7 linked regions of the Ovis aries genome follow. The protein of the gene in region 5 interacts with the protein of the main gene of each other region in a pairwise test. Links are inferred from orthologs where the notes say so. Each region holds a gene or a part of one and is shown on either strand. Other genes may lie near its edges. The genes, in order: NDEL1, ATOSB, KCTD9, KANSL1, TRIM27, ILK and SPATC1L.

Region 1 (4,213 bases), on a different chromosome or scaffold from region 5:
ATTCTTCAATGTAATCTTTGTAATTGCCTTAATAAAAGTGGATATGAAATTTAAAACAAATGGTATGACATTTATTAGAGGAATCTGGACAAATGAATTAAAACTGTGAATATATGTATAACCTTTTACCCAGCACTCAACTTATTAAGGATTTATCCTAAGGAAATTATAGAAGTAATATGCAAAGACGTATGTTCAGTGATGTTTACTGCAGCATTGTTTTATCATTATGCCCAAAACTGGAAACAACCTAAACACCCAGGAGACTCATTTAATAAATCATAGTATAATCCAAGCACTGGAATACTACACAGCTGTTAGGAAGGACAAGGAAGATTTTATAAATTAACATGAGATGATACTCAAGTGATACTAAGTGAAAAAAAGAGGGCTTCTCTGGTGGCTCAGTGGTAAAGAATCTGCCTGCCAGTGTAGGAGACGCAGGTTGAATCCCTGATCCGGAAAGATCTCACATGCTGCAGAGCAACTAAGTCTGCCCGCAACAAATATTGAGCCTAAGCTCTAGAGCCGGGTAACCACTAACTATTGAACCCGCGCACCACAACTGCTGAAGCCCATATGCCCTACAGCCCATGCTCTGCAACAAGAGAAGCCACTGCAATGAGAATCCCAAGCACCACAAAGAAGAGTAGCCCCCACTTCCCGAAACTAAAGAAAAGCCCACAGGCAGCAAAGACCCAGCACAGCCAATAAATAAACAAGTTTAAAAATGGTTAGAGAACAGTAAATACAGTTTGACACAAGAAATATTGTTTTAGAAGTCTAGTTAATTTCCAAAATATATAAAGAACTACTACAACTACCACTACTACAACTCAATAACAAAAATACCAAACAACTCGATTTAAAAATGGGCCAAGAACTTGAACAGGTATTTCTCCAGAGAAGTATACAGATGGCTAACAAGTACATGAAAAGGAGCTCTACATCACTAATCATCAGGGAAACACAAATCAAAACTACAACGAGATACCACACCCCCTGGGAGGAAGAAAAAAACCACCACCAGAAAATAAGTGTTGGTAAGGATGTAGAGAGATTGGAACCCTTGTACATTGCTGGTAGGAATCCAAAATGGTACAGCCACTATGGAAAACATTCTGAAAGTTCCTCAAAAAAGTAAACACAGAATTACCATATGATTCAGCAAATCCATTTGTGAATACGAAAAAGAATTAAAAGCAAGGACTCAAGTAGCCATCTGCACACTCGTATTCACAGCAGCATTATTTACAATAACCAAAAGGTGGAAGCAATCCTGTCCATCAGCAGATGATATAAACAAAATGTGGTGTCTATAGACAATGCAATATTTTTCAGCTCAGAGGGTAAAGTGTCTGCTTGCAGTGTGGGAGACCCGGGTTCAATCCCTGCGTCAGGAAGATGCCCTGGAGAAGGAAATGGCAACCCACTCCAGTACTCTTGCCTGGAAAATTCCATGGACAGAGGAGCCTGATAGGATATAGTAGGATATAGTCCATGGGGTCGCAAAGAGTCAGACACGACTGAGCGACTTCACTTTCACTTTAAAAAAGGAAGGCAATTTTGACACCTGCTACAACATGCATGAACCTTGAAGACATTACACTATGTGAAATAAGCCAGCCATCAGAGGACAAATACTGTATGGTTCCATTCAAGAGAGAGTAGAGTGGTAGTTGCCAGAGACGGGTGGGGAAGACTAGGGAGATACTGTTTAATGGGTACACAGTTTCACTTGGAGAAGAAAAAAAATCTGGAGATGGATCTTGGTGATGGGTGCATGTCAATGGGAATGTACTTAATGCCACTAAGCTGTATGCTTAAAAACTAATTTTTATTTCATGTATATTTTGTTGTTCTTGTTCAGTCACTCAGTTGTGTCCAACTCTTTGTGACCCCATGGACTGCAGCACACCAGACTTCCTGTCCCTTACCATCTCCCAGAGTTTGCCCATGTTCGTATCCGTTGAATCAGTATATTTTATCAAATTTTTTAAAAATTCAATTTTTTAAGTAGAACTTTATATACCAGTGTCACTAATAATCTCTGGGGCTGGAATTATGTAAAAATTTTCCCTTTCTCTTTGTTTATATTTTCACCAGTTACCACAATCAGGAAAAAAAGGTATCTAGTTCCATTTAGAAAATGAAAGTAACCTCACACCCTGAGAATGCCGTCTTACAGTTTACAAAACACTTTCACAATCATCATCCTGCTTAAGCATCACCAACATCCCAAAAAACAGAGACATTTTTGAACTGTGTAGACCAGAAAGGTTCAGAAGACAGTGAATTGCCCGTCAGTAAGACAAGGAGCCAGGACTTAATCACAAGCCCCAACTCGGTCAGCTCAGCAAACTTTCAAGCATCACACCAGCTGTGTCGAAGTCAATCCCAGAGAAGCCATCTCCCAGAGATGAAGCTCGCTCTACAGCCTAGAAAAATGTTACCTGGGCAGCTCACGTAACACACAACCAAATCAAGGTGATGAGATTTTAGGGGGGTAGAGGTCAAATGATCTGGTTTCAGGAAGCCACCCCTGGTACCATCCCTCACAGGGACATAACCAACTTCACAAACTGACCCCAGCCTCTGACAGTCCCCCACAATGGACAGAAAGGGTCTACCAGGAGCCCCCCACTCTGGCCCTGATCTGGCCCAGACCTTATCCAAGCTGACCCCCCAGTCCCCACCATCCCAACATACCTGGTCCTGTGTCCCAGGCCTCGCAGATCAGATCAACAGCAGCACAAAGTGGCTGGAGCTGAAGCAGCTGAAACAAAGTGGAAATCAACAGGAAGTGTGAGAATCACCTTGTGACAAAAGAGGCACGAAGACCGGAAGTGGGTTTGGGCCAGGAAGGCTGCGGCCGGCCTTCTAGAAGTGAAGCAACCTTGCAGCCCCACTGCTCAGCTGCTATTGAGCAAGACTTCAGGGTTGAGGAAGGAGAAAAAGAAACTCAATCCCTAACTCTTTAGCCAGAACTTCAAGCTTCCCCTTTGTCTGTCTCCAGCCCTGTATTAGAGGGGAAAAGCAAGGAGGAGAGCTTTCCCACATTAAGGGTAGGAGATGCAGGATCCCTGTTGATTCAGTGGTAAGAATCCACCTGCCAACCTAGGTTCGATCCCTGGTCTGCAAACCAAGATCCCACATGCCCCAGAGCAACTAAGCCCATGCTCCACAACTACTGAGCTGAAGCACTAGCGCCCTAGAGCCCTTGCTCCATAACAAGAGAAGCCACTGCAAAGAGAAGCGCATGGACCACAAGAGAGTAACCCCCTGCTCACAGCTAGAGAAAGCCCATGTGCCACAACAAAGACCTAGTGTAGCCAAAAATAATAAATAAAAGGTAGGGCTTCCCCAGTGGCTCACTCAGTAAAGAATCCACCTGCAGTGCAGAAGACACAGGAGACTCAGGTTCAATCCCTGAGTTGGGACAATCCCTTGGAGGAGGGTATGGCAACCCATATATTCTTGCCTGGAAAATTCCATGAACAGAGGAGCATGGTGGGGTACAGTCCATGGGATCGCAAAAGAGTCAGACACGTCTGTGAAACTGAGCACACAGGAGATGCCCAGAACCTGGCAAAGCACACCTGTGGCTTCAGAGAAAAAATGGGAAGTCAGAGGGAAGTAGCCTCCGCCTACCACTTTTGGTGGCAAGACCTTGAATGAGTTGCTGTGTGTCTCTGTGTCTCATCTTTGCAAAATGAAATGGAGGTGACACCAGTACTGACCTCATGGCATTGTTTGGGCTTAAATGAGATAATGTGTGTAATTGGCTTCACATACATCCCATTATTCCCTTCAGTGGTTGGTGGCATCCCCCCTCCTTTCTGCCTCTCCAAATCTGACCCACTCCTTAAGTCTTTGGCAGGTCATGCCACCCTGGTCTGGAGTCACTTCTCGCCTCCACAGTGGCTGCAGGTCAAATGTGTCACTGGGTCCCACCATGTCGGAGAAGCACCACGGTTAAGAACTACGACTGAGGCCCTTCACCGATAATTCCTTCCCATGGAGCTGTCTATCTCCCCAAGGTCACCCAGGGAGGGTAAGGGCTGCATGGATTTGTCTCTGTTTTCCCAGGAGCATCTACCAGAGCACTGGAAGTTAGTCCATAAATGTTCATGGACTTTTAAGATGCTATGAAGGTTTCAGACTGACCTCAGGGCAGCTCAGGATCATGTTGTCTCCAGCCTGGGGCTGCTGC
Region 2 (3,500 bases), on a different chromosome or scaffold from region 5:
CTGTTGCAGGATTACAGGAGACAGTGACACTGCCATAAGTGAGGTCTCAGAAGAGATAAATATTTATGGTCCAGGCCAGAGGAAGTTTTATGGAGAGGATGGCATTTGGCCTAGCCAAGGAGGAAGGGTAAGACTTGGATAGGCATAAGGGGACATTCCCCCCTGAAAAGGAAAGTGTTTTGTGGATAGCAGGCAGCAAAGGCTACTAACCAAAGCATAAGTTTGATCCTGCATGCAGTGTTTTCTCCCATGAAGGAAGAGAGCCTTCGATTTGACATCCCCTCACCCAATATGGGCTCCTGAGGGTGGACTAGTTAGGGAAGACCATCTTGTACCCTGGCAGAAAAGCAGTGGTTTGAGTTTTGGGGTGCTGGATGTGTTGGGGAGGAGTAGCGAGGCACTCCAGCTGTCTGGCTGTCACTGCCTTATCTCTAGTTTGCAGAGCCTGGGGGAGGGGCAGGCCCTGGAGAGTGTCTTCTAGCAGTGCTTCCTCCACACCCTGCCCCCTCTAGACTTGTTTTTGGTTAGATTTGTTGCTTCCTGTTAAAGGGACAGACTGCTGGGGACAATTGGGAGTTTAACTCTGAAAGACCCACTTTGAGCTAGCCTGAGGTTTGTACTTCCAAGGAGCCCTGACTGGGGAGGAATATTTTTGTAAGACCTCTGCCCTGAGAATTATGGAGTGGCATTTGTTCCTTTAGAGATAGGTGTATGGGCAGGAGTTGTGCAACTCAGTGGCCTTGACTAGGAGAGTTGAATTCTTGCCTTGGCCACCTTTCAGTTGTCATGGTCTTTTGGATCTTGGGGTTTCTCATCCCCCATCTCATTCAGGGCAGGAGTCCCCCAGCTGGTGGCCCTGACAAGTAGTTTTCCTCCCTCAACTTACTTGTCACATCCTATTACAATGAGCTAAGACCTGCCACTCTGTGACTCTTTGTATAACCCAGTTCTGCCCTCTAGGCTCTGGATCCCAAGACTACTGCTTCCATCTCTGCAGGGGTACTGTGAAGGAGTATGTCCTCTATAAACTGGAGGAGGATGTCCTGGGGTATACTCTGTGAGCGCAGCCCTTCCACTGGCTCCAGAGATCCTGGCTTATGCCAGGCTTTTCCCATTTTTCTCTCCTCAGAGTCCAGCTGAGCCTAGGAGCTGCACGGAATGGTGGCAGTCACCTTGCCAGTGCAGCAGGCATGGACCAGACTGCAAGCTAGGAGAGCAAGACATCAGCCAGGAAGAGGGAACACACAGCTAGGCTTGAGGCCTCTTCATCGGGGTGAGTGCCAGAGAGAGAGGCGGGGAGCAGATTGAGTTAGAGACCTGAGCGAAACGGGTCACCTGTTCAGCAGTTTTGAGCATGCCCTCTGTATTCCATCAATCCATCTGGGGCGTTTGGTTATCTTCACCCTGCTGGAACCTCACAAGGTCACCTCTGTAGTCCAGGGGAGGATCTGAATTTCATCTGGGAGGGAGATGATTCATGGATTCCTCTCACCATCTTTTCTTCTCTTCTCTTGCACAGATGTCCCCAGGCCCCCCAGCCCAAGCCCAGCATAAAGGCTGTGGGGGGGGTCCCCCCTGACTGAAGGCGGGGCTTCATGCGCCACGTGCAGGCGGAGACATCTCCATCCTCAGAGCCAGAGGCTGGCCCTTCGCAGCCTGCAGTCAGGCAGGGGGCCCTCCAGGGTGGCCTGCTCATGGGCTACAGCCCAGCGGGGGGGGCGACATCCCCCGGGGTCTACCAGGTATCCATCTTTTCCCCTCCAGCTGGTGCCTCTGAGCCTCCTAGGGCCCTGAAACGGCCAGCCCCACCTACCGAGTGTCCCAGGGAGCTGAAGAGAGGCCCCGGACTAGGGGCCAGAGAGGGACTATCCCCTGAAGAGCCACCTACTGTGGGGCTCTTGGGCCCAGAGGGACTGGGGCTGAAACTGGGCGTGGCCAGCCAACATTTCTGCCATCACGGCCTCTGTGTTGTGGAACAAGGAGGTAGCTCCACCTCACCTTGGACTTCGGGGGCCCAAAGTTCCCCCTTGCCCCCATCAAATGCTTCCTGCAGTACTTTGCACACCAGAGACTGGGCTTCCCCAGATCCAAGGGGACAGGGGTCTCTGGGGGCGTCCCTGGGGCCAGCCCCTCCAGGCCAGCTGCACACATTTGACACTGATTTGCACAGTCTTGCACAAATAGGGGGTAAGAGCCTAGTGTCTGGGGTGGGCAATGGGGGCAGCCCCTGGCCTAGGGAGTCCCCTGGCACTGCCAATGGGTGCAGCCCCGAGCACACACCCCCTGGCCCCGGACCTCCAGGCCCCTGCCCCACCAAGCGAAGGCTGCTTCCTGCTGGAGAAGCCCTGGATGTCAGCTCTGAGGATGAGGGGCCAGCCCCTCGGAGGCGCCGGGGAACACTGGGCCACCCTCCTGCTGCCAACAGTTCTGATGCCAAAGCCACACCCTTCTGGAGCCACTTGCTGCCTGGGCCCAAGGAGCCTGTGCTGGTAAGCCAGGAGAGGAAGTGGTCTGCACTTATGTGGATATCTGTGTGGGGAAAGCTGATGGCATGGGGTATGTTCCTGTGAGAGCTCGTGATGAGCCTGGCTTCCATCTAGCCTTCTTACCTAATCTTTCCTCTCCACAGGACCCAACAGACTGTAGTCCCATGGGGCGGAGGCTGAAAGGTGCCCGTCGCCTGAAGCTGTAAGTGTCCTGCTTCTCCTTGAAAAAGGGGCAGAAGTCTGTAGTTCTCTTTCCAACACCAGGCAAGGGGACCTCAGGGAAGGGGCCTTAGGTGGGGCCCAAGGACAATAGCAAACATCCCAGAACATCTCAAGTCAACCAGCCCACTCATGTGTCCTCTGCCCTACCAGGAGCTCCTTTCGAAGCCTCCGGAAGGGACCAGGTCTGCTGAGCCCTCCCAGTGCCTCCCCGGTTCCTACCCCTGCTGTCAGCCGTACCTTGTTGGGCAACTTTGAGGTAGTTCCCCTTGGATTCCTGGATTGGTGGGTCTTGCAGGAAGGGATGGTGGTATGTGGCTTGGATAGATAAAGAGAACAGATAGCATCTTTCTCACGTTTCCCTACCCTAACCCCAGGAATCATTGCTGCGAGGACGCTTCGCACCGTCCGGCCGCATTGAGGGCTTCACCGCAGAGATTGGAGCTAGTGGATCCTACTGCCCTCAGCATGTCACGCTGCCCGTCACTGTCACCTTCTTTGACGTTTCTGAGCAAAATGCCCCGGCTCCCTTCCTGGTATGACCTGACCTCAACCCAAAGGGCATGAGGGGTTAGAGGCAGGAGGTATTCTCTTTTTTTTAATTGACAATGCAAAAGACTTTATTGGGAAAAGGCATTCAGGTGGAGAGCAGTAGTTGAACTGCTTTGGAGGGATTCTTGAGATGTTCTTACCTAAGAATCAGGGCCTAGTGGGAGAGAACTCTTGTATGGAGCAGGGGTCAAGTCCCAGGATGAGAGATGGTGGAGATGGATGAGTGGTCTGGGGTCTCCCACA
Region 3 (3,500 bases), on a different chromosome or scaffold from region 5:
CTAGAACCTGTGCTCCACGTAAGAGAAGCCATCGCAGCGAGAAGCCCATACACTGCCACAAAGAGGAGCCCCTGCTCACCGCAACCAGAGACAGCCTGCACAAAGCAACAAAGACCCAGCGCAGCCAAAAACAAATAGAGAACAGCTTAGAAAGGAAACAAACAAGATTTTAAAAGAATAATAAAATCCTTTAGAGTGCTTACTGATACATTCCAAGTCTATTTAGAATCCCAAACTGGAATTCATGGGTTATATACATACGTGAAAAGCCATTTACCTGTGGCTATACCTCTGTAACAATATATATTCATACACACATAAAAGCATTTAGTTTTAAAAATGAAAACGATAATTTTACTTGATGAAAATACATTACACTAAGCTAGTTAAAAAGAAAGTATAAATCCCAAACTTATAAAAATATAAGGAATTACATTGAAAACTCACCCAATAAATTAATCCCATCGTTGACAATGAGCTGTCCGTGACGCAAATAGTTCAAAATGGGTTCAAAGTACTCAGGACTTCGGTCAATTAAGAAAGCTCCTCTATGATCTTGTTTATTTCCCCAGACACCTGTGGGGCCAACAAAATGAAGATAGCCCCCCCATAAGCAAAAAATAAAGTCAGAAATTCATAGGAAGGAAACTGTGTAGCATACCAGTATGTTTTTACTCTTGTACAGATTATTACCAATACCATTAAAAAGTACAGAAGGACAGGAGTTTATAAAGTCAATATAGCTAGATGCAAAATGGGAAAATTATGGACTGCACTCACCTTTGTCCTTAAACATGTGGGCCAGCATACTGTCGGGTTCTTTATTCACTAAAGTGCTCCTAAGAATTCAGGGAAAAAAATGGATTTCTCCATTTGTCTTTATAAACAAACATATTTAAGTCAAGAGTATACTTGATCTCAGCTGCTCTCTCAAAAAGATGCATGCTATAACCTGGGAGGAGTGATGCTGGGAGACAAAAATGTGCAGTAAGTTGCCATTTATCAAAATCTCTTCTAATCTGGCACTTCCTTTGATTTAAACATCGATTTAGTTGACTTTAATTTCAATGCTAATCTATCCCTCTAGCACGCAACTATATCACAATTTTCATGCTCTAAAGTAGGCTGTTTTTATCCCTTTAGTATAAGCAGTTGTGTCTTAAAATTTCAATGTTGTTAATTTTCTTACTTGTGTTACAAGTATATTGCTCAATATTTTAAAAACACATTCTAAAAATGCTAAATTCATGCTTTTTGTGCCTTCTCTGGAATGACTTATGAGCCATTTTTCTACTCTTAAAAAAAAGTCTTTCTAAAAATTGGTTTCAAATCACACAGTATATTTAAGCAGCACTGGAATATCTCCTAAGGAAATCAGTACTCTGAAGGAAAGGACAGACAGCACATAGTACCACACTGACACACACGTGCATGTGCACCTACCGTGTGGTTGTAAAGTACCGCCCTCCAACATTTAATGTGAGCCAGTCTGTGTGAGATCCTGACAGCCCTTCAGGCAGTTTAGAATCTGTCTGAGGATCTAGAGATGACAGGTAGAAAAAATAAACATTAATTTGGGGAGGCATTAATTTGGTGATTTAGGGAAGATGGTAATACCATAATTTTTTAAACCAAAAACACACATAGAAAGCATGGCAGAGCTACCAGGACAGCAAGCCCTGTACCCATAGACAGCATGAAAAACAAAACTAAGTATAAGGTATACCACCAGCACTGACAGCTAGGACAGCAGCTATGGCATCAGCTTCTTTGACAGCAACAGCAGGGTATGTAATGATCCTAAGTATTCCAAAGTAATCCGTAAAGACTCACTTCAAAACTCAGCAAATCTGCTTGAGAACAACCACCCGGAAGTGGAGGGGTCTGCCCACTCTTAACTGCAGGTGATTCAAGTAGTGTGCAGTAAAATCTGAAGGGGCTGAAAATGAACTCTCAAAACTCCCACCTAGGAAACAAGCCCCACACTGAGAGGGTAAGTTGCTGGGAAAATGAACACATCGAATACCTCAGTATTATGAGGTAGATGAACCTAGAGTCTATTATACAGAGTGAAGTAGGTCAGAAAGAGAAAAACAAATATCACATATTAACACACATATATGTGGAATCTAGCAAGATGGTCCTGATGAACCTATTTGCAGGGCAGCAATGGAGATGCAGACACAGAGAACAGACTTAGGACACAGGCAGAGGGGAGGAAGGAGAGGGTGAGGCAAATGGCGACAGCAGCAGGGAAACACATACATGACCATACATAAAATAGGCAGCCAATGGAAATTTGCTATATGACTCAGGAACCCAAACCTAAGCTCTGCAGCAACCTAGAGGGGTGTGAAAGGGTGGGAGGAGGGAGGGAGTTTCCAGAGGGAGGGCACATATATATAAATATACCTATGGCTAATTCATGTTGATGTATGGCAGAAATGAAACCAATATTGTAAAAGCAATTATCCTTTAATTAAAAATAAATTTTAAAAAAAGATAATAAAAGTCAACAAGGTCCACCAGAACCAGAATACATAAGAAGGTAATCCCCATATTTGTCAATACTTCACATTAAACAGAAAAAGGCAAACCTAAAGCCATGAAATTAGGAAAACTTTCCTAAGTTAGCCTGTCCTTCTCCAGTAAAGGAAAATGAATTTCATGTAAAAAATGAGGAACAGAAACTCCCATACAAAATTATTTCTAAAAAGGAAGACTACATCCCTATAGATAATAAAGATGTGGCAGAAATACCCATAAAATAGGTAAACTATAATATTTCAAATATGCTAAAAGAGTTAAATAATATAAACCAGAACCAAAAATGAAGAAATGGGACAAGAGAACTCAGAATTAGAAGTAAAAAGAAAAATCATTTCAGTAATGAAGATTACAAGAAACACAGGAGTGAAAGAACACCACAGATAATGCCTGAAAGGAGGTAAAAGATGAAAGGGGAAACTAAAAATCAAAAAGAAATGAAGGAAGAGATGAAACGTATTTACTAGATTTCAACTTACCTAAGGAGGCAAAAGACCTGTGTACAGTAAACTACAAGACACTCATGAAAGAAATCACAGACAACACAAACAGATGGAGAGATATTCCATGCTCCTGGGCTGGAGGAATCAATACTGTGAAAATGACTATACTATCAAATGTAATATATAGATACAACGCAACCCCCATCAAATTACCAATGGCACTTTTCACAGAATTAGAGCAAAAAAATTTCACAATTTGTATAGAAACACAAAAGACCCCAAGTAGTCAAAGCAATCTTGAGAAAGAAGAGTGGAGCTGGAGGAATCAACTTACCTGATTTCAGACTATAATACAAACATACAGTCATCAAGACAGCATGGTACTGGCACAGAGTACAGACCAATGGAATAATATACAAAGCCCAGAGATAAACCCACACACCTACAGGCATCTTATCTTTCACAAAGGAGGCAAGAATATACAATGGGGAAAAGATAGCCTCTTGAATA
Region 4 (4,044 bases), on a different chromosome or scaffold from region 5:
ATATAGAACTCCTCAGCCAACAATAGCAGCTGGAACATAAATGAAGATGCGAACTCAGTCTACATTTACCTAAAAATTTCCCGCAATCCAAGTGTTTAGTTTACACAGACTGCATTAATACCTGACGTATTCACTGCATTAATTTGGAATTCCACAGGGCAGGTTAACAGACAAAAATCTAACTACATTAGTATTTAGCTCTGAAGGAAGTCACCTGTACCATCCAGTGAAGCTTGTGGGGGCTTCCATTACTCCTTACCCTTCCCCATCCTTCCTCCCTCCCATTTTCCTCCCTGCATGTATCTTAAGCTTTATCCTCTGTTTAGTCTTTCTTAATGGAGAGAGTTTCCTGGCCATTTAAGTACAAGAAACTGGAAGTAGCCAAGAGAAAGGAGAACAACCACATCATTGGGAGCTTTTTCATGTAAAGATCGTGTTCTCACACTGCCCCCAAAGAGGTTTATCTTGTGAGGTGAAATATGGCACAAAGTGCTACCTGTTGAGAAAAATAGTACAAATTTGCATGCAAAGGACTAGGGAATAGCAGGAAAACTCCCACAAAGCTACAGATATAAACAAACAGGTCTTAGAATGTTCTAAACATCAATCAAGTTTCAGAGTAAATAAATGGCTAGTGACACATCTTCTGTAACACATGAATCAGCTACAGATTTGCAAGAGTGGGACACACCCTAACACCTATGATGATACTAAAGGACCTGTTTGAAAGTGGACCCGGCTGTCTGAATTGCCAGCCCATCCTACTGAGACTGGAACAGAATTTTACAACGGTGTGGGGTTGTCATAATTTAAAGCTAAAAAATAAACACATCATTATCATGAAAGTTAATTTGAGAACTTCATTAATATTTTAACACCAATAATTAAGGACAGGAGCAATACAAAGGAGTAACCAATCAGTTCTAGGAGGCAAACACAAGGGAAAGAAATGTCAGGTAAGACGGTTGAAAAACTGCAAATTCAAAAACTAAAAAAATCTCAATTCTAAAAAATAATAATAATAAAACGAGACCTTTATAATTAAAAAAAAAAAAAAAACCACACACACATCTTACCTTAAGAGGCATCCAAGTAGCATTCATAGTGTCAGCAGTAGTTCAGGCAATAATACTCAGAAACGAGCAAGAATAGAGTCTTAGTAATTCCCCAGCCACCAAGTATGAGAAGATAGGAAAATTTTTTGTTTCAAAAAGGTATCTGAAAAAGAGAGGACTTTCATTTAGACTAAAAATAATCCAAAAATAAGCATATAGTTTAAACTATCTGGACAGAGATTCAAAGTACTATTTGCCTCACCATTTTAAAAAAATGTAGAAAATAACTGTTCCTTTTGGAGAAGGACAAATGCGTGTGGTGTATGTTTCTCCACAGGTATGAAGAAATATATTTCTCCATAAAATTGGATTAAATGTGTAACACATATTTCAGATAATATAAAATTGCTTATTAGAATTATTTCTCAAATAGAAAAATGATTGTCCAGGGTTACTTCATAAACACTATTAAAAAGTGATTTTTTTATCTGATCACTAAAAAATGCCCTTGCCACATTTAGTTTTAATAAATTAAACCCTCTCTGATCATTTTGATTGTCCTAAATTTTCTTGAGTTTAAGCTGCAGAGCCCATTCTATGTGGAAAAATAATAGCCATTCTTGACTGAAGTGCTACAAATAAAAGACCCTTCTTTCCTAGAAATCTTTAATAACAGGCCAAACAATTTTGAGCCAAGTTTGTGTGGAGGTAGGAGGATGGATTAAATGACCTCTTGTAGGATTCGTGCTCTCGTCCTAGGCCTGAATGAAAATTCCAGCTTAACCAGTTACTGCTTCGCTTAAAATGGAGGCTTGCCCGATTAGGGACAAAATAACAGCACCCACCTCTGTAAAATAAATTTTTAAAAATTCAAAGCCTACAGTACCCTCATTTTTAAGAAAAATTAAAAATAAAAACCTCTGGAGTGGATTTGTTCTTGCTATGCGTTTGTCACTTCGGCGTCGAAGACTTGGCATCACTTTCCTTACGCTCGTCGAATTTTTTTTTTTTTTTTGGTGGGGGGAGGGTTGGGGGGAGTTTGACTTCTGACCCAAGTCCGGGAAGGATTTAAGAGCCCCTCCATAATCCCCAACGCAAGAGCTAAGGGGCGAAGAGAAAGGGGAGAGCCCGAGTTCCCACCCCTCCCCCCACCCTAGACCCCAGTCCCAAACAGACCCCCCCTTCCCGCAGTGAGGCGACTCCTTCTGCCCCAAACCCATTGTTAGGGAGGGGGCGTAAGGGAGAGGGGGCTCAAGGCAGGGCGCCGGCGGCCGTTGCTCCGCTCGCTTCTGGAAGGGGGCGGCCCGCGGGATGCAGCTTCCCTTCCTCTCCGCGTCGGTCCGTCCCACCTCGGCTCGGCCTGGCGCCCCGGGCTGTGCTCGGCGCCCCCGGCCCCGGGCCCGGCCCAGCCCGCCCCCCGAGTACCAAGCCCCCGACCCCTCTGCCCGCAGCCCGAGGCCCAGGCCTGCGGGTGGGCGCGGGGCGGGGGTCCCTATGCCCCACACACGCGTCCCCGCTCCCCCAGCCCAGTCGCTTCCAGGGCCCTCGGCGGCGCCCGCTCCCCGGGCCCGTCGGCCCCCCGCCTCCCGGCCGGGCCACCCCCTCGGGCTCCCGCCGTTGGGGCCGCCTCCCCTTCCCCACCATCACCCCTACCGACTCGTGCCCCCACCCCCCGGGGCCCCAGTGCCAACGGCGGCTCCCCCGGCCCCCGGACCTACCTGCACAGCTCAACCAAGCCTAGAAGTGGGGGCGGGGAATCTTCCGCCCTCCTCTATCTCTCATTGGCCCTTCCGGGGAACATAGGTATCTCTATTGGCGGGCGGCGAATGTCCGTCAGAGTGGTGGGGCGGGACAGAAGGGGAGAGGGATGCTGGTGCCTTGGCGTCTCTGTCTCTGTGTATCTCGCTGTCTCTGTCTCGGAGCTTGGAAATGAGAGACATTTGGATGAGAGGACTGGAAATGGGCCTCAGGTGGCAGAAATAGAAACAGGGATCCTGGCAGAGCTTCCCGCAAGTCTGTCACTCCGAACCCACTACCTAAGTCCCCTTTAGATCCTCTTCCCCATCACCCCCAACCCCGGCCCCTCACCCTTGTAGGTTCTTCATCCAGGAAGCGTTGTGAAGAAAACTCGAGGCCGGAAGGCCACAGAGGGAGATTTTATATATGTATATAAAATACACACATACAAATACTTATATAGAAAGTCAACCAGATATAAGGTCACAAGGGCCTGGAGAGGAAAGGACACACATCTGAGATATAGCCAAAATAAAGAATAAAAAAATCACTCTAAGAGCTGGTAACGTGGTTTCCTTCTGGGAGGGGAGTTGAGGGGATCAGGTGTGAGGAAGACTTACATTTCACTATATATCCTTTTGTATCTTTTGATTTTAAAGATTTTGATTTTTTTCCTTTTTTTTTTTAATTACGTGGCTTAATTTTAAAATAACTATAAGGTGGCAAAACCAGGGGGACAGTTAAAATGGTGGTCCGGACAAAGAGGGACAGCATGAAGACTTGGTGAGGAATTTTAGTTTTTAGTATGTTCATTTCCAGATAGCAGGGGTAAAACCAAGTAGAAGTGTTCAGGGAAAACTGCAGTTATGGAATTCAGGAGGGGGTGGATAATCTGGGGAGATGATAGAGTTCTTCACATAATATGGCAATCAGTGACATGCTAAAGGAAGAACTCCCCATAGAAACATAAAAACACATCCACAGTAAAGTAAGGCGGGTGAACAGAAACAGAAAGATGGTTGGTGAGATAAGAAAAACAAATAGTGAAGAGGTATGAAAGTTAAGGGAGGAAGGGTCTCTGGAAAAATAAAACAATAAAACTATGAGAACCTCACAGATGGTACGACTCATTTCAGGGACCCTCTTTAGCTTTATGAAATAAGAATGAGAGCTTGCTATACACCTGAAACTAACAACATTGTAAATCAACTATACTTCAATTTAAAAAAATTTTTTTAAATTAAAAAACCAA
Region 5 (3,961 bases):
AAGGTTATCTGTCCTTCCTTCTCCACCACTTATCCCACTGAGAGACTCCACAAAAGCTTATTTCAGAATAAAGGGTCAGCAAACTCCCGTGTTTACTCCCTTGGAGTAAAAGTTTATTGGGAAACAGATCCACTCATTTAAATGGTGTCTTTAGCTGCTTTTGAGCTATGACAAGGGAGCTGACTGGTTGTGGTAGAGGTATAGGCCACAAAGCCAAAAATATTTACTCTCTAGTCCTTTACAGAAAGGTAAGGGACTATTTTTTCCAGAACAACCACCCTCTCCCCCAAATATCCCTACCACAAAGGCCTTGGGAAACTAGGAGAAGGGAACAAAGAGAAAAGTTCAGAATAGAATCATTGCCAAGAAAAAGAACATTCCAACAAGAAGCAACAGTCAAGTTTATGGAAAGCCACTGCCAGCATCTGTCTGCAGAACAATACAAAAGGCTGCTAACCAATGCTCAAGAATTTCACCAGAATCAACCCTGATCTGCACAAAGCTAGCAGATTAAACTTTTGCTAGGTCAGATCTCCAAGGGTTTAAAGTTGACTATTCCATCCTTTTCCCCCCAGATGTGGGAATCCCTTGGTTCTCCAGGTGAATTCTTAACTGCCATGTAAGGTTGTTCCACCCGTACCTATAAGTTCTGGGTGATCTGACTGCACAAGGTTAAGGGAAGTTTACAAGTCTTACAATATAAGAGAGTGACCAGAAGAACCGATATTATCTACGAATTCTCAGGAACCTCACCAAGAGTTCAGCTCGCGCCTGCTCTCCCTGTGCCCTTCGCCTCTTCTTTAAGTCTTTCACTCTTTTTAGGTGGTCCAGCTGGTTCTGGATTTGCTCCTGAAAAAGCAAAAACAGATGTACAGCTCAAGATAAGGCAGGCCTTAGCAGTGTGACTCTTCTGCTTATCACCTGTGTAACCCACATTCACGATGCCAAGTTCTTGGTGAGAGCCTGTCCTTGGATCACACTGCCATCACTGTGGCACCACACCTCTCCTTTGGTAGTTTGTATCTTAAATGGTGGGTCACCTACCTGCCTTTGGAAGGATACCGCATGGCTTAGTGGAAAGGTGAATAAACTAGAAGGCTTTAGTTGTCGAGCTTTCAGGGACAGGTAAGGAGAGAAAAGGACTTAACTTCTCCTATTTTCCCTTGGTGTGACATGAACCAACACCACCTTCTCAACCTAATAGTGTTCGGTGTGAGTAAAATGGTATTTTTGAAAGCACCATAAATGTTCAGTGAATAATTTTGCATGAACATACTCACATTTACACATGTACATAATTGTGTGGATGTTCTCTGCAGTCCTCATACACAGATTATGTGCACACCTTGAATGTTGTCTTACAACTATTTTATATTTAATACTTTATTTCCATGCTATCGTTGAGCTGTACAAATCTGTTGGTGCACAAGGGAATCCACACAGCATTTTATTTCACTCAGTCTTCATTAAGTCTTATCTCCTATGAGTCGCACAGTGGTTAAATGACTTAGGCAGTAAGAAACTTGTTCTTTTCCGGGAGGTTCTAGAAGAGGACGGAGCACAGGGAAGTGCTGGGGGAAAGGAGAGGTGATGGGCATCTATTTGATGTGAATACAGCCGGGCAACGTCCGACTGTGTTTTGTCTGAGATCATCTAGGAGCCAACAGGAATGCGAGCGTCTCTGAAGCTTGTCGCTGCGTACGTGGTTTTACAGATATCTTATATACAGTCAAGAGGGGTCTCCATGGGCCGTCATGTATAATGTGCCCGTGAGAGGGTAAACACAGAGGCACATACGCAATGAGGGTGGGGAGACTTCTGGCTTCATCACCAGCTACAGGTTTTCCTCCCAAATCTGAGTGCCGAGGCTCTGGAGCGGACAGAGGAAATGACGGCTGTGAACCACACGTCCGGCTCAGCCATTTTCTAGGCGGAAAAAAGGAAGCCCCTTTGGCTCTCTCCTCCCTTTGTCCAACTCGCGCTCCGGCCCCTCCCCGGCCCGCGCGCCCGGCCCTCACCTTGAAGCCCTCCACCGCCTCCTCGAGCGGAAGCACGCTGTGGCCGCGGTGCTCGCGGGAGCGGTCGCACACCACGCAGATGGGCATCTGGTCCTCCTCGCAGTACAGCTTCAGGGGCTCGCGGTGTTTCTCGCACACGCCCATCTCGCCTCCGGGCCCCGACGGCCGCTCTGTGCGCAACTGCTTCACCAGCTGGGTCACGTTGGCCAGGTGCCGGTTGGGCCGCATGTGCCGCTGCGGGAAGGTCTCCCGGCACTGCGGGCACGACACATTGGTCTCCGCCGCGCCCCAGCAGCGGGCGAGGCAGGCGCAACAGATGTTGTGGCCGCAGTCGAGCATCATGGGCTCCACAAAGTACTGCAGGCACACGGGGCAAGTGGTCTCCTGCTGTAAGCACTCGGCCACGCTCCCGGAGGCCATGGCGCGGGCCCGCGGGGGCGAACGGGCATGGGCCCCGGTGCCCAGCCCAGCGCGGAGCCCAACTCGATTGCGCTCCCTCCCGTCCGCTGTTTCTGGGCGGTGCGGAAAGGCCAGCCGGGCTGACGGAGGGCGACGCCTCCCGGGCCGATCCCAGACGCGCCCGCGCGCTGGAACGGCGGGTGGCCGGGCCGCTCCCTGAGCCGCTGCGCCGGGCGGAGGGAGTATGGGGGTACCGCGGCCCCACCGAGCCCAGCGACTATGTGAAGGGACAGCAAGATCGCCGCCGATCGGACTCCCGGAGCCGGGCGCTCAAAACGCGCAGGACAACGTGGCCGCGTCGGAGCCGATCCCAGCGGCCGCGCAGACCCCACCCCTGCGCGAGCGGAAGAGGCGGCCCGGGGGCGGGGCCTGGGCCGGACCTCCTTCGTGAGGCTGGAAATTGCGGCCTCAGGCCTGGACGGATTCTTTCACAGGGAACCCGGGAGGCCTCGCCGCCAGGGCGGGGGCGGAACGCGCGGGCGGAAGCTCCTTGGGTACGGGTCCTAGAGGCAGGCGGTGTCCACGGGGTGCGGCGGGGTCAGGATAACCCCTGCCTGCACGCTCCGGGCGCCCCCGCCGAGCCTTGGGCCTTGGGCCTGGATCCCGGGTCTTTTGTTGGGTTTCTTCTCTGGTGCTCAGGCCTCTGCCGCGGCGAGAGAAAGCTGGCTTTGTGTTGGTGTGGGAAGAAGAGACATCTGGCTTCCCCGGTAGGCCAGAGGGCTGGGAGTAGCCGACTCAGCCCCACCCAGTCTGTGAGGAACTTTATCAAACAACCCCATTGACGGGCGCTCGCAGTTGCGTTTCGTAAAAGAAAGGATTAATTATTAGATGAAAACATTTCTGTGACAGAAACAGGCAAGCCCAGTTCTGCTACTTCCTACTGTGCCTAAGCAAAGTGGTCTACCATTCTGAGCTTCAGTTTCCTGTCTGGTGAAACGGGAGTAATTATACCCCAGCTCCGTACAACTTTTTAACCCTAAGGAGGTTTACCATTAAAATAATAAAATACCCACTGCCTAGAACTACTAAATAGAACTTAAACATGCTTGCTCATTAATAAAACACCTAGTGCCTAGAGCTGTACTGAATAGAACTAAACAGGCCTGCTCCTTCCCGAAGTATAGGGGGAATGATAATCCTGTGAGTAACACAGGCTGTTTTCATTATCCAACAAACTTACAAAATTTTTGCGTTGTTCGCCCATCCCTACTTTGGTGTTTCCTGTTTTCCTTTGCTATTTTCTCGATATTGTCCTTCATCCTCTAAACTTAATTGAATTTGGACAGCCTTGCCTGTGTTTATTTTAATTTCCATTGTTATATTTTGAACTAAGTGATTTCAACAATGTCAGTTTACAAATCTTTTTTAAATGAGTTAGTAACTGGTTGAATGTGACCTATTCCACCAGTTTCCTTGTTTATACTCTTTTTCTCTAACCTATTTACACAATGTTTCAAAGAAACAGATCCGATACTTCAGTAACT
Region 6 (4,137 bases), on a different chromosome or scaffold from region 5:
CCCAACCTTTGGGAGGCTGGAGAGCAGAGAAACCACCCACCTCACTTTCTTCATTGGATAGATGAGGTGATGGGGTTCCCAGAGAAACACTGTAAGGCCACGAGCTACAGGACCGAGGCTAGTGACCGGGAGTTCCAACTCTCAATCTCAGGTTTCTACCTCTAGCTAATACCTTTTTATAAAAAGTAGGAAGATTTTTGAAAATAAGAGTGACATGATCACACATGTGTGTATTAAAGATGCCTCCAGTTGCAGTGTAAAGAACCGAAAGAAAAAAAAAAAAAACACTGAAAGAGACAAGCTGCAGACAGAGGCCAGTGGCGGGGATTACAGCAGTGGGTCGAGGGGTTGAAGAGGAGAGAATAAAGCAGGCAGATTTCATGTCACAGGCTGACTGAAGGACAGAAAGAGCCTGAGCAAGTGCAGCAGCCCTCACATCGGCAGAGGCTTAAAGGAGGACTACTGTCTGGGAGGCCGTTCTGGACTAAGTCCCACTGGACGGATCCCTCATCCTGGAGACTCTCAGTACTCCCTCAGCTCCAGCTCCCTTTGAACAGCGGCACTGACAGCCCTCGTTGCCATTCAGTTTTGCTCTTTTCAATCTCCACACGGCAACCAGTGACATTTTCAAAACGCAAATCTGAAGAAATCATCCCCCTGCTAAAACACTCCATTGGCTTCTATCTTTAACGTGCAAATATTCTAACGTAGCCCTCCAATTTCTACCACACTGCCTCTCATTCTGTGTCATGCTCCCTTGACCCGGGTCTCTCCACATGCCTTTCCTTCCAAGAAACCCTCTTTGCTTCACTAACTTCTACTCACCAATTCTCTCTCAGTTCCAACGTCACTTTCTTTTGGAAGTTCCGGATCTGGGGAGGCTGCAAGCGGCCCCCCTCCCCCTAATTACACACGCGGCGCGCCCCAGCTCCGGAATCCAGCAGTCTGTTCTGAGTACTCCTGCAGGGCCACTCACCTTGATTTGAGAGGTTGCCGTGGGCCGAAGCCCTAAGGCTACAGACCCGAGGTCCGCGACTACAGGGGCCTCCTCGGCCCACTCCGGCTCCTCGAACATGGGGCTGGGGAGCGCAAGGTTGCGGGATCCACCCGCTTCTCCACGTGCAGACCACGTCTCTAAGAATCAGACCGCTCAGAGACGCCGGAACAGGGCAGGAAACCAAAGAGTGAGAGCTGAAGTGGCTAGAGCAGCCGGCGCAGTGCCGAAAACCATCGAGTTTAGACACTGGTGGGCTAGAAGGGCAAGGAAGGCGGGAGGGAGGGGCCGGGAGAAGGAGGCCCGCGCTGGCCTGAGAGGGCCAGGGGCGGGGCCGGGCGGCGGGCGCGGCCGGACGGGAGTTCCCCGGAGAAGGCTCCTCTAGCCCGAGTCCCGGTGAGTGTGGGGGCACCCGTGCCCCCTCCCCAAGGCTCGAGCTTTACCAGGCGGTCACCCCTCCCTCCACCTACTCGGTTCCGAGTCGGGAACGAGGGCCATCCTCGGCAAGGACCTCCGATCGCCTCCTCCAGGGTATACGGCGCCTAAACTCCCCACCCCCACCCCCCAGCTCTGTTCGCGGGTAGGGTCTCTGTGCTTGCTCTCGTGACATCCCTTCGGAAGACACTACCTCTTCATCAACGCCTACTTCGCCCGATCCGCCTTTCCCTCGCGCTCAAGGGACACAGTCCAGGACCATTCCGCTGCCTCCCTAACTCCTTACAGACATCCAGTAGCTGGGGACGCAGAGCCCAGACCCCCAGCCCAACACCACACTTCTCTCCTGTAGGGGACAAAGCCTGGGGCTCACCCCCCCCCCCCCCAAGATCCTTCTACAGTTCCCACACTTTCCCAGTCTAGGGGACTCTGCCGGGACGCTGCTATGGACGACATTTTCACTCAGTGCCGGGAGGGCAACGCGGTTGCGGTCCGCCTGTGGCTGGACAACACGGAGAACGACCTCAACCAGGGGTGAGCTGGGGTGGCTGGGGGGCGAGAGGAAGGGCAAAGACATGCTCCTCTCCGCTCTGTGGGGTGCTCACTTCTGGTGCGGGCGGCTTACTTTCCTATTCAGTGTGATGAGGATTAAACAGCCTGTCAGCGGGGCAGAGGGTCTCCACACCGGAAGCTGTTGTTTGAGCTGAATCTTGACTGAATAAGAATTTACAGGCAGAATCTGCAGAGTATTCTAACTTCAGTGAACCTCATGGGCAAAAGCTAGGGGGCAAGACACGGAGCAGAGAGTGCCAGAAACTGTCCGGAGCTCCATATGGCTAGAGGAGAGAAAACCGCTGGGCTTCTGTGGGCTAAAGCTCTAAGCACAAGTGCAGAATGACAGAAGTTAAGACTGGAAAGGTCTGCAAGGGTCAGTCAGATCATGCAAGAGTATTTAGGCTATAATAATTTTTTATTGCAAGGGCAAGGGTTTAGAGCCATGTAATGGTACGATGAGATTGTCCATTTGTTAAGTGTCATCTTGGATGCTTTATGAAGAGCAAGTGGTGATGTGAAGAGAGGCAACTAACTGCCTAGTCCATCTCAAGTGGTGATGGCTTAGACTAGAATTGGGACAGGCAAAAAAGAAAAAAGTGATCAAATTCCTGAGATCTTTTGGATAAAGAATTGGTGAGACTTGGTGTGGAAAGTGAGGTCAAAGATGATGATCAGGGTTCTGGCTTGGGTAGATAGTGGTTCCTTTTATTGAGAAGGACAAGGCTGAAGGGTGGTGAGTTCCACTCTGCACACATTTAAGTGACAATAAAGTGGATGTGGAGTGGGCTGCTGGATTTCAGGAGAGATCTGACTTGGAGACAAAGATTTGGGCGATATTAGCATGACTGGAGAAGGCAATGGCACCCCACTCCAGTACTCTCGCTTGGAAAATCCCATGGACGGAGGAGCCTGGTAGGCTGCAGTGCATGGGGTCGCTAAGAGTCGGACACGACTGAGCGACTTCACTTTCACTTTTCATTTTCATGCATTGGAGAAGGAAATGGCAACCCACTCCAGTGTTCTTGCCTGGAGAATCCCAGGGACGGGGGAGCCTGGTGAGCTGGTGTCTATGGGGTCGCACAGAGTCGGACATGACTGAAGCGACTTAGCAGCAGCAGCAGCAGCAGCATGAAGATGGGCTTCCCAGATGGCTCAGCAGTAAAGAATCTACTTGCCAGGGCAGGAGCTGGCAGGAGATGCGGGTTCAACCCCTGGGTCTGGAAGATCCTCTGGAGTAGGAAATGGCAACCCACTCCAGTATTCTTGCCTGAGAAATCCCATGGACAGAGGAGCCTGGAAGGCTGGTCCATGGGGTTGCAAAGTCAGACATGACTAAGCATGTACACGCATGCACACACAGACACACACAGCACGTAGATGGCACCTGAAGAGGTGGATATGAAACCGGATGAGAAACCTAGAAGACCAAACAGGAAAATATGCTGCTGCTGCTAAGTCGCTTCAGTCGTGTCCGACTCTGTGCGACCCCACAGACACCAGCTCACTAGGCTCCCCCGTCCCTGGGATTCTCCAGGCAAGAACACTGGAGTGGGTTGCCATTTCCTTCTCCAACGCATGAAAGTGAAAAGTGAAAGTGAAGTCGCTCAGTCGTGTCCGACTCTTAGCGACCCTATGGACTGCAGCCCACCAGGCTCCTCCATCCATGGGACTTTCCAGGCAAAAGTACTGGAGTAGGCTTAAAGAAGTGAATGTTTCAATGAAAGGAGTGGTCAGTGGTACTCTAGATTGCTAAGAGGTCAAAGAACTTGAGCACTAAAGTGTAACCATTGAATTTACAATTATTTATGTATTTAATGATCTCTGTGAGAGCCGTTTCAGAGGAAAACAAGTGAAAAAAACCAGACTATACTTGGTTCCTTCATTTAAGGAACTATACTGAACACGCACTGGGTGCTAGAAGTCCAGAATCAGGCATAATGCTTGTCCTCAAGGCAGTGGTCTCCTGGGCAGGTTGAATGTGAAGTAGAGAAAGTGAATGTAGACAAGTTCTTTAAGGTTGGCTGAGACAGGAAGGCAAGAAAAGCAGTAGTGATGCTGATTCAGGATCGTAGAATTTTTTTAAAGTGAGGAGAAAATAGATTTTAGGTTTGAGAGTTAAGGATCACCTGTCACTTTCATCCAGGCTTTATGGG
Region 7 (3,500 bases), on a different chromosome or scaffold from region 5:
TAAATCCTCAGTCAAAACTTCCCTGGTGGCTCAGAGGTTAAAGCGTCTGCCTGCAATGTGGGAGACCTGGGTTCGATTCCTGGGTCGGGAAGATCCCCTGGAGAAGGAAGTGGCAACCCACTCCAGTATTCTTGCCTGGAGAATCCCATGGACAGAGAAGCCTAGTAGGTTACAGTCCACGGGGTCGCAAAGAGTCGGACAGGACTGAGCGACTTCACATACACATACATATACACATAATCAAAACTTTCAAACCATATTAAACTATAAATGAGTCAGAGTCAATAGAAAACCCTATCTCCTCAAAATTAAAAGCATTCTCAGGACTTCCCCAATGGTCCAGTGGTTAAGAACTCACCTTGCAATGCAAGGGTTGTGGGTTCAGTCCCTAGTCAGTGAACTAAGATCCCACATACTGCAGAACAACTCAGTCCACTCCACAACTAGAAAGCCCAAGTGCCACAACTAAGACCAAAAAATATATACATATTAGAAAAAAAATTATCTTCAGTAATAATCAGATCAAGGAGAAAATAGAAATAGAAAGAATGATTATTGAGAAATAATGAAAATCAGAACACTAGGTATATTGCCATCAATACATTTAAAACTGTATCTAAAGTGAAATTAGCAACTTAAATCCTTTAATTACTTCTAAAACATAATCAAAAAATTAAACATTCATATAGGGATGAACTCTTGAAGAAAGCAAAAGTCAGAGAATAATAAAAATAGCAGCAGAAATAAACTTGAAACAGCTCTACAAAAAGTCCAATAAGATAGTGAAACCCTGGAAAGCTACTTTAGAGAAACAGAAAACAAAAGAATAAAATTGAAAATGAGAAAAGCCAGATAAGAATGACCAGGAAGACAATGTTTAAATCATAAAAGATTATATCCAACTGAATATTACTTGAAAACTTTAATAAAGGAGAGATCACTTGGGAAGCTATTTTCCATGACTCAATAAGAAGTAGAAAACCTGCACAGATGAATAAGCAAAAAAGAAAAACCTAGAAGTTATAGAATTATGGGCAAAGAGTTGAAGACCTGTGTGGTTGGTGGATGAGTTCTTTCAAGTCCCCAAACAATTCACAACCCCTGCATCACATGAATGAGGCTGGAACACTGAAAAAATTAAACGATGCTTGATTATCAAGCTTATAAATTGTCATAACTCTGATATCAAATCCCTGAAAAGACAACTCACAGAAAGAAAACTGCAGCCCAGATTCACATAGGAATTAGAGAAAACAGAGTCCAGAGATCCTGAGCGAAGCCCCAGCCAAACAGATCCCACAGCAAACAGCTCAGGCCCAGAACCAGGAGTCTCTCAATGACACAGTGGAACAAGACCCCACAGGCCAGTGGGGGTGCAGCTGAGGGCACTTTGGCCAGAAAAGAAGTGAGGTCATAAAATCTTAACAAAATGAGCCCTTCTTCAATTTTGTTGTCATTGTTGTTCTTAAAAAATAAGGACTAGAAGGCTTTTCCCCAGCACCCAGCCTACACCCCCCACCCCCAATACCTGGACAGACAGGGCTGTCCACTGCCGACCACCCTCCAGAAGGATGAGCGGGGAGGCTGTCAAGGCCAAAAGTCCTGGGATTCCTGAGGAAGAAAGACAGAAACGAGCGTATGAGCTGCCGTTGTTGTTCAGTTGCTAAGACGTGTCCAACTCTTTGTGACCCCATGGGCTGTAGCCCGCCAGGCTCCTCTGTCTGTGAGAATTCTCCAGGCAAGAATATTGGAGTGGGTTGCCATTCCCTTCTCCAGGGGATCATTCTGAACCAGGGATTGAGCCCTGTCTCTTGCTTGGCAGGTGGATTCTTTACCACTGAGCCAGCAGGGAAGCCCATCTGAGAGGCCAACCCCATTTAAAAGTCTGTAAACAGCAGCTACAGAACTGAGAAAACGGGAGAAAGAACTGGAAAACTCAGCAGAACAAAATAGCTCAGGGAGGGACTGGATAGTGAATTCCCTGGTGGTCTAGTGGTTCAGGCTCCACGCTCTCACTGCCCAGGGCCTGGGTTTAACCCCTGGTCGGAGAACTAAGAACCAGCATGCCTGGTGGCCAAAAGTAAAAATAAAAATATAAAGTAAGCAAAATATGATAAGGGGCCTGGATATAGGCTAAATATTTACAAATCAACAGATTTCCAAAACACAGTAACACAGATAACTGAAAACACAGTGGAAAAAGAAATCCCATCCATGATTGCAATTAGTAACATAAAGTGCCCCAGGAATAAACCAATTAATGTGAAAGATTTATGCGAGAAATGGCTAAAGAGACTTGAAGAAACAGTCAGAGCAGCTTAATAGAGGTGCAGGGGACTATCTCACCCTCTGGGCAAATGTAAGAAAAAGAGATGTGAAAATAATTACCCTGCCTTCTGAGCCAGTGATTCTACCTTTAGGGAAACATACCCTAAGGCAATAACTCTGAATAGAAAATGCTTTTGCTGTGGTATTTACTTCAGGGTGGGCTTCCCTGGTGGCTCAGACGTTAAAGCATCTGCCTGCAATGTGGGAGACCTGGGTTCGATCCCTGGGTTGGGAAGATCCCCTGGAGAAGGAAATGGCAACCCACTCCAGTATTCTTGCCTGGTGAATCCCATGGACAGAGGAGCCTGGTGGGCTAGAGTCCACGGGGTCGCAGAGGCGGACACAACTGAGCGACTTCACTTCACTTCACTTACTTCAGAGCTGGAGAAGGAAATGACAACCCACTCCATTATTCTTGCCTGGAGAATTCCATGGACAGAGGAGCCTTATGGGTTATGGTCCATGGGGTTACAAGAGTCAGAAGCAACTGAGCAACTAACACTTACTTCAGGGTAAGAGAAAAGAACTGTCATTTCAAACATAAGGAGAGTTCATTAAATTCCGGTTCATCTGATTCTGGACTATTACACAGCTATTTAGAATGTATTTATGACAATACAGAAGCAGCTGTCTCGTGATGGTAAAGGGAAGAGGCAGAGAGAACACTCAGAAACTACTTAACATCACTGGACACTCCATGCAGGACAAGGCGTCCAGGCAACTGTGGAGGCTCTGAGACGCCAGGGGCTCAGGCACGAGGGTGATCTGGAGGAAACTGGCCTGGGAGGGGAAGGCCTGGGATGGCCAAGGCCCCCACCCCACCCTGTCCCTCAGAACATGTGCACCATATGCAAAGCGGCCCCCTCCCATGGGTGACACCAGCTGTGGGAAAGGTGCAGCAGGAGAGGCCACAGCCCTTTGGAGAGGGTCCCAGTGTCCATGTCAACACTTGAGCTGCACGTGGCCTTTGACCCAAGGATTCCTGGACAGCCCCCGTGAGCAGGGGTACCTGTGAAGCCCCCATGGCTGCTGGGAGATGGAGGAGCACTCCTGTCATGGGGACCAGACTTAAGGGCTGGTGGTGAACCAACAGGGAACAGTGAGCAAGCCCTCCAGGAGATGGCCAATGGTCAAGGACGGAAGATGGACGGCTGGGGAGTCAGTGTAGAATG

The links.
Region 1: the proteins of TRIM27 (region 5) and NDEL1 interact in binary tests that used the Homo sapiens proteins (3 or more experiments, as listed by UniProt). The two-hybrid records come from large-scale screens. The link is inferred for Ovis aries from reciprocal best matches to the Homo sapiens genes TRIM27 and NDEL1.
Region 2: the proteins of TRIM27 (region 5) and ATOSB interact in binary tests that used the Homo sapiens proteins (3 or more experiments, as listed by UniProt). The link is inferred for Ovis aries from reciprocal best matches to the Homo sapiens genes TRIM27 and ATOSB.
Region 3: the proteins of TRIM27 (region 5) and KCTD9 interact in binary tests that used the Homo sapiens proteins (3 or more experiments, as listed by UniProt). The two-hybrid records come from large-scale screens. The link is inferred for Ovis aries from reciprocal best matches to the Homo sapiens genes TRIM27 and KCTD9.
Region 4: the proteins of TRIM27 (region 5) and KANSL1 interact in binary tests that used the Homo sapiens proteins (3 or more experiments, as listed by UniProt). The two-hybrid records come from large-scale screens. The link is inferred for Ovis aries from reciprocal best matches to the Homo sapiens genes TRIM27 and KANSL1.
Region 6: the proteins of TRIM27 (region 5) and ILK interact in binary tests that used the Homo sapiens proteins (3 or more experiments, as listed by UniProt). The two-hybrid records come from large-scale screens. The link is inferred for Ovis aries from reciprocal best matches to the Homo sapiens genes TRIM27 and ILK.
Region 7: the proteins of TRIM27 (region 5) and SPATC1L interact in binary tests that used the Homo sapiens proteins (3 or more experiments, as listed by UniProt). The two-hybrid records come from large-scale screens. The link is inferred for Ovis aries from reciprocal best matches to the Homo sapiens genes TRIM27 and SPATC1L.

Annotation. Positions count from the first base shown.
Region 1 is NC_056064.1:27,824,456-27,828,668, reverse strand, and holds the start of NDEL1 (nuclear distribution protein nudE-like 1), read right to left. Parts: upstream 2,801-4,213; 5' UTR 1-2,800. UniProt on the Homo sapiens protein: Required for organization of the cellular microtubule array and microtubule anchoring at the centrosome. May regulate microtubule organization at least in part by targeting the microtubule severing protein KATNA1 to the centrosome.
Region 2 is NC_056055.1:53,368,536-53,372,035, forward strand, and holds part of ATOSB (atos homolog protein B), read left to right. Parts: intron 1-1,129; 5' UTR 1,130-1,273; intron 1,274-1,519; 5' UTR 1,520-1,595; coding exon 1,596-2,489; intron 2,490-2,629; coding exon 2,630-2,688; intron 2,689-2,858; coding exon 2,859-2,964; intron 2,965-3,082; coding exon 3,083-3,241; intron 3,242-3,500. UniProt on the Homo sapiens protein: Transcription regulator that may syncronize transcriptional and translational programs.
Region 3 is NC_056055.1:40,148,736-40,152,235, reverse strand, and holds part of KCTD9 (BTB/POZ domain-containing protein KCTD9), read right to left. Parts: intron 1,541-3,500; coding exon 1,444-1,540; intron 840-1,443; coding exon 781-839; intron 577-780; coding exon 448-576; intron 1-447. UniProt on the Homo sapiens protein: Substrate-specific adapter of a BCR (BTB-CUL3-RBX1) E3 ubiquitin-protein ligase complex, which mediates the ubiquitination of target proteins, leading to their degradation by the proteasome.
Region 4 is NC_056064.1:45,912,785-45,916,828, forward strand, and holds the start of KANSL1 (KAT8 regulatory NSL complex subunit 1), read right to left. Parts: upstream 2,801-4,044; 5' UTR 2,774-2,800; intron 2,550-2,773; exon of another isoform or gene 1,974-2,549; intron 1,219-1,973; 5' UTR 1,077-1,218; intron 1-1,076. UniProt on the Homo sapiens protein: Non-catalytic component of the NSL histone acetyltransferase complex, a multiprotein complex that mediates histone H4 acetylation at 'Lys-5'- and 'Lys-8' (H4K5ac and H4K8ac) at transcription start sites and promotes transcription initiation.
Region 5 is NC_056073.1:29,117,587-29,121,547, reverse strand, and holds the start of TRIM27 (zinc finger protein RFP), read right to left. Parts: upstream 2,801-3,961; 5' UTR 2,439-2,800; coding exon 2,019-2,438; intron 850-2,018; coding exon 754-849; intron 1-753. UniProt on the Homo sapiens protein: E3 ubiquitin-protein ligase that mediates ubiquitination of various substrates and thereby plays a role in diffent processes including proliferation, innate immunity, apoptosis, immune response or autophagy.
Region 6 is NC_056068.1:46,202,718-46,206,854, reverse strand, and holds the start of ILK (integrin-linked protein kinase), read left to right. Parts: upstream 1-1,337; 5' UTR 1,338-1,525; intron 1,526-1,847; exon of another isoform or gene 1,848-1,852; 5' UTR 1,853-1,874; coding exon 1,875-1,963; intron 1,964-3,771; exon of another isoform or gene 3,772-4,137. Other genes in the region: RRP8 (ribosomal RNA-processing protein 8), read right to left, coding at 977-1,075. UniProt on the Homo sapiens protein: Scaffold protein which mediates protein-protein interactions during a range of cellular events including focal adhesion assembly, cell adhesion and cell migration.
Region 7 is NC_056054.1:266,614,745-266,618,244, forward strand, and holds part of SPATC1L (speriolin-like protein), read right to left. Parts: 5' UTR 1,878-3,500; coding exon 1,529-1,877; intron 1-1,528.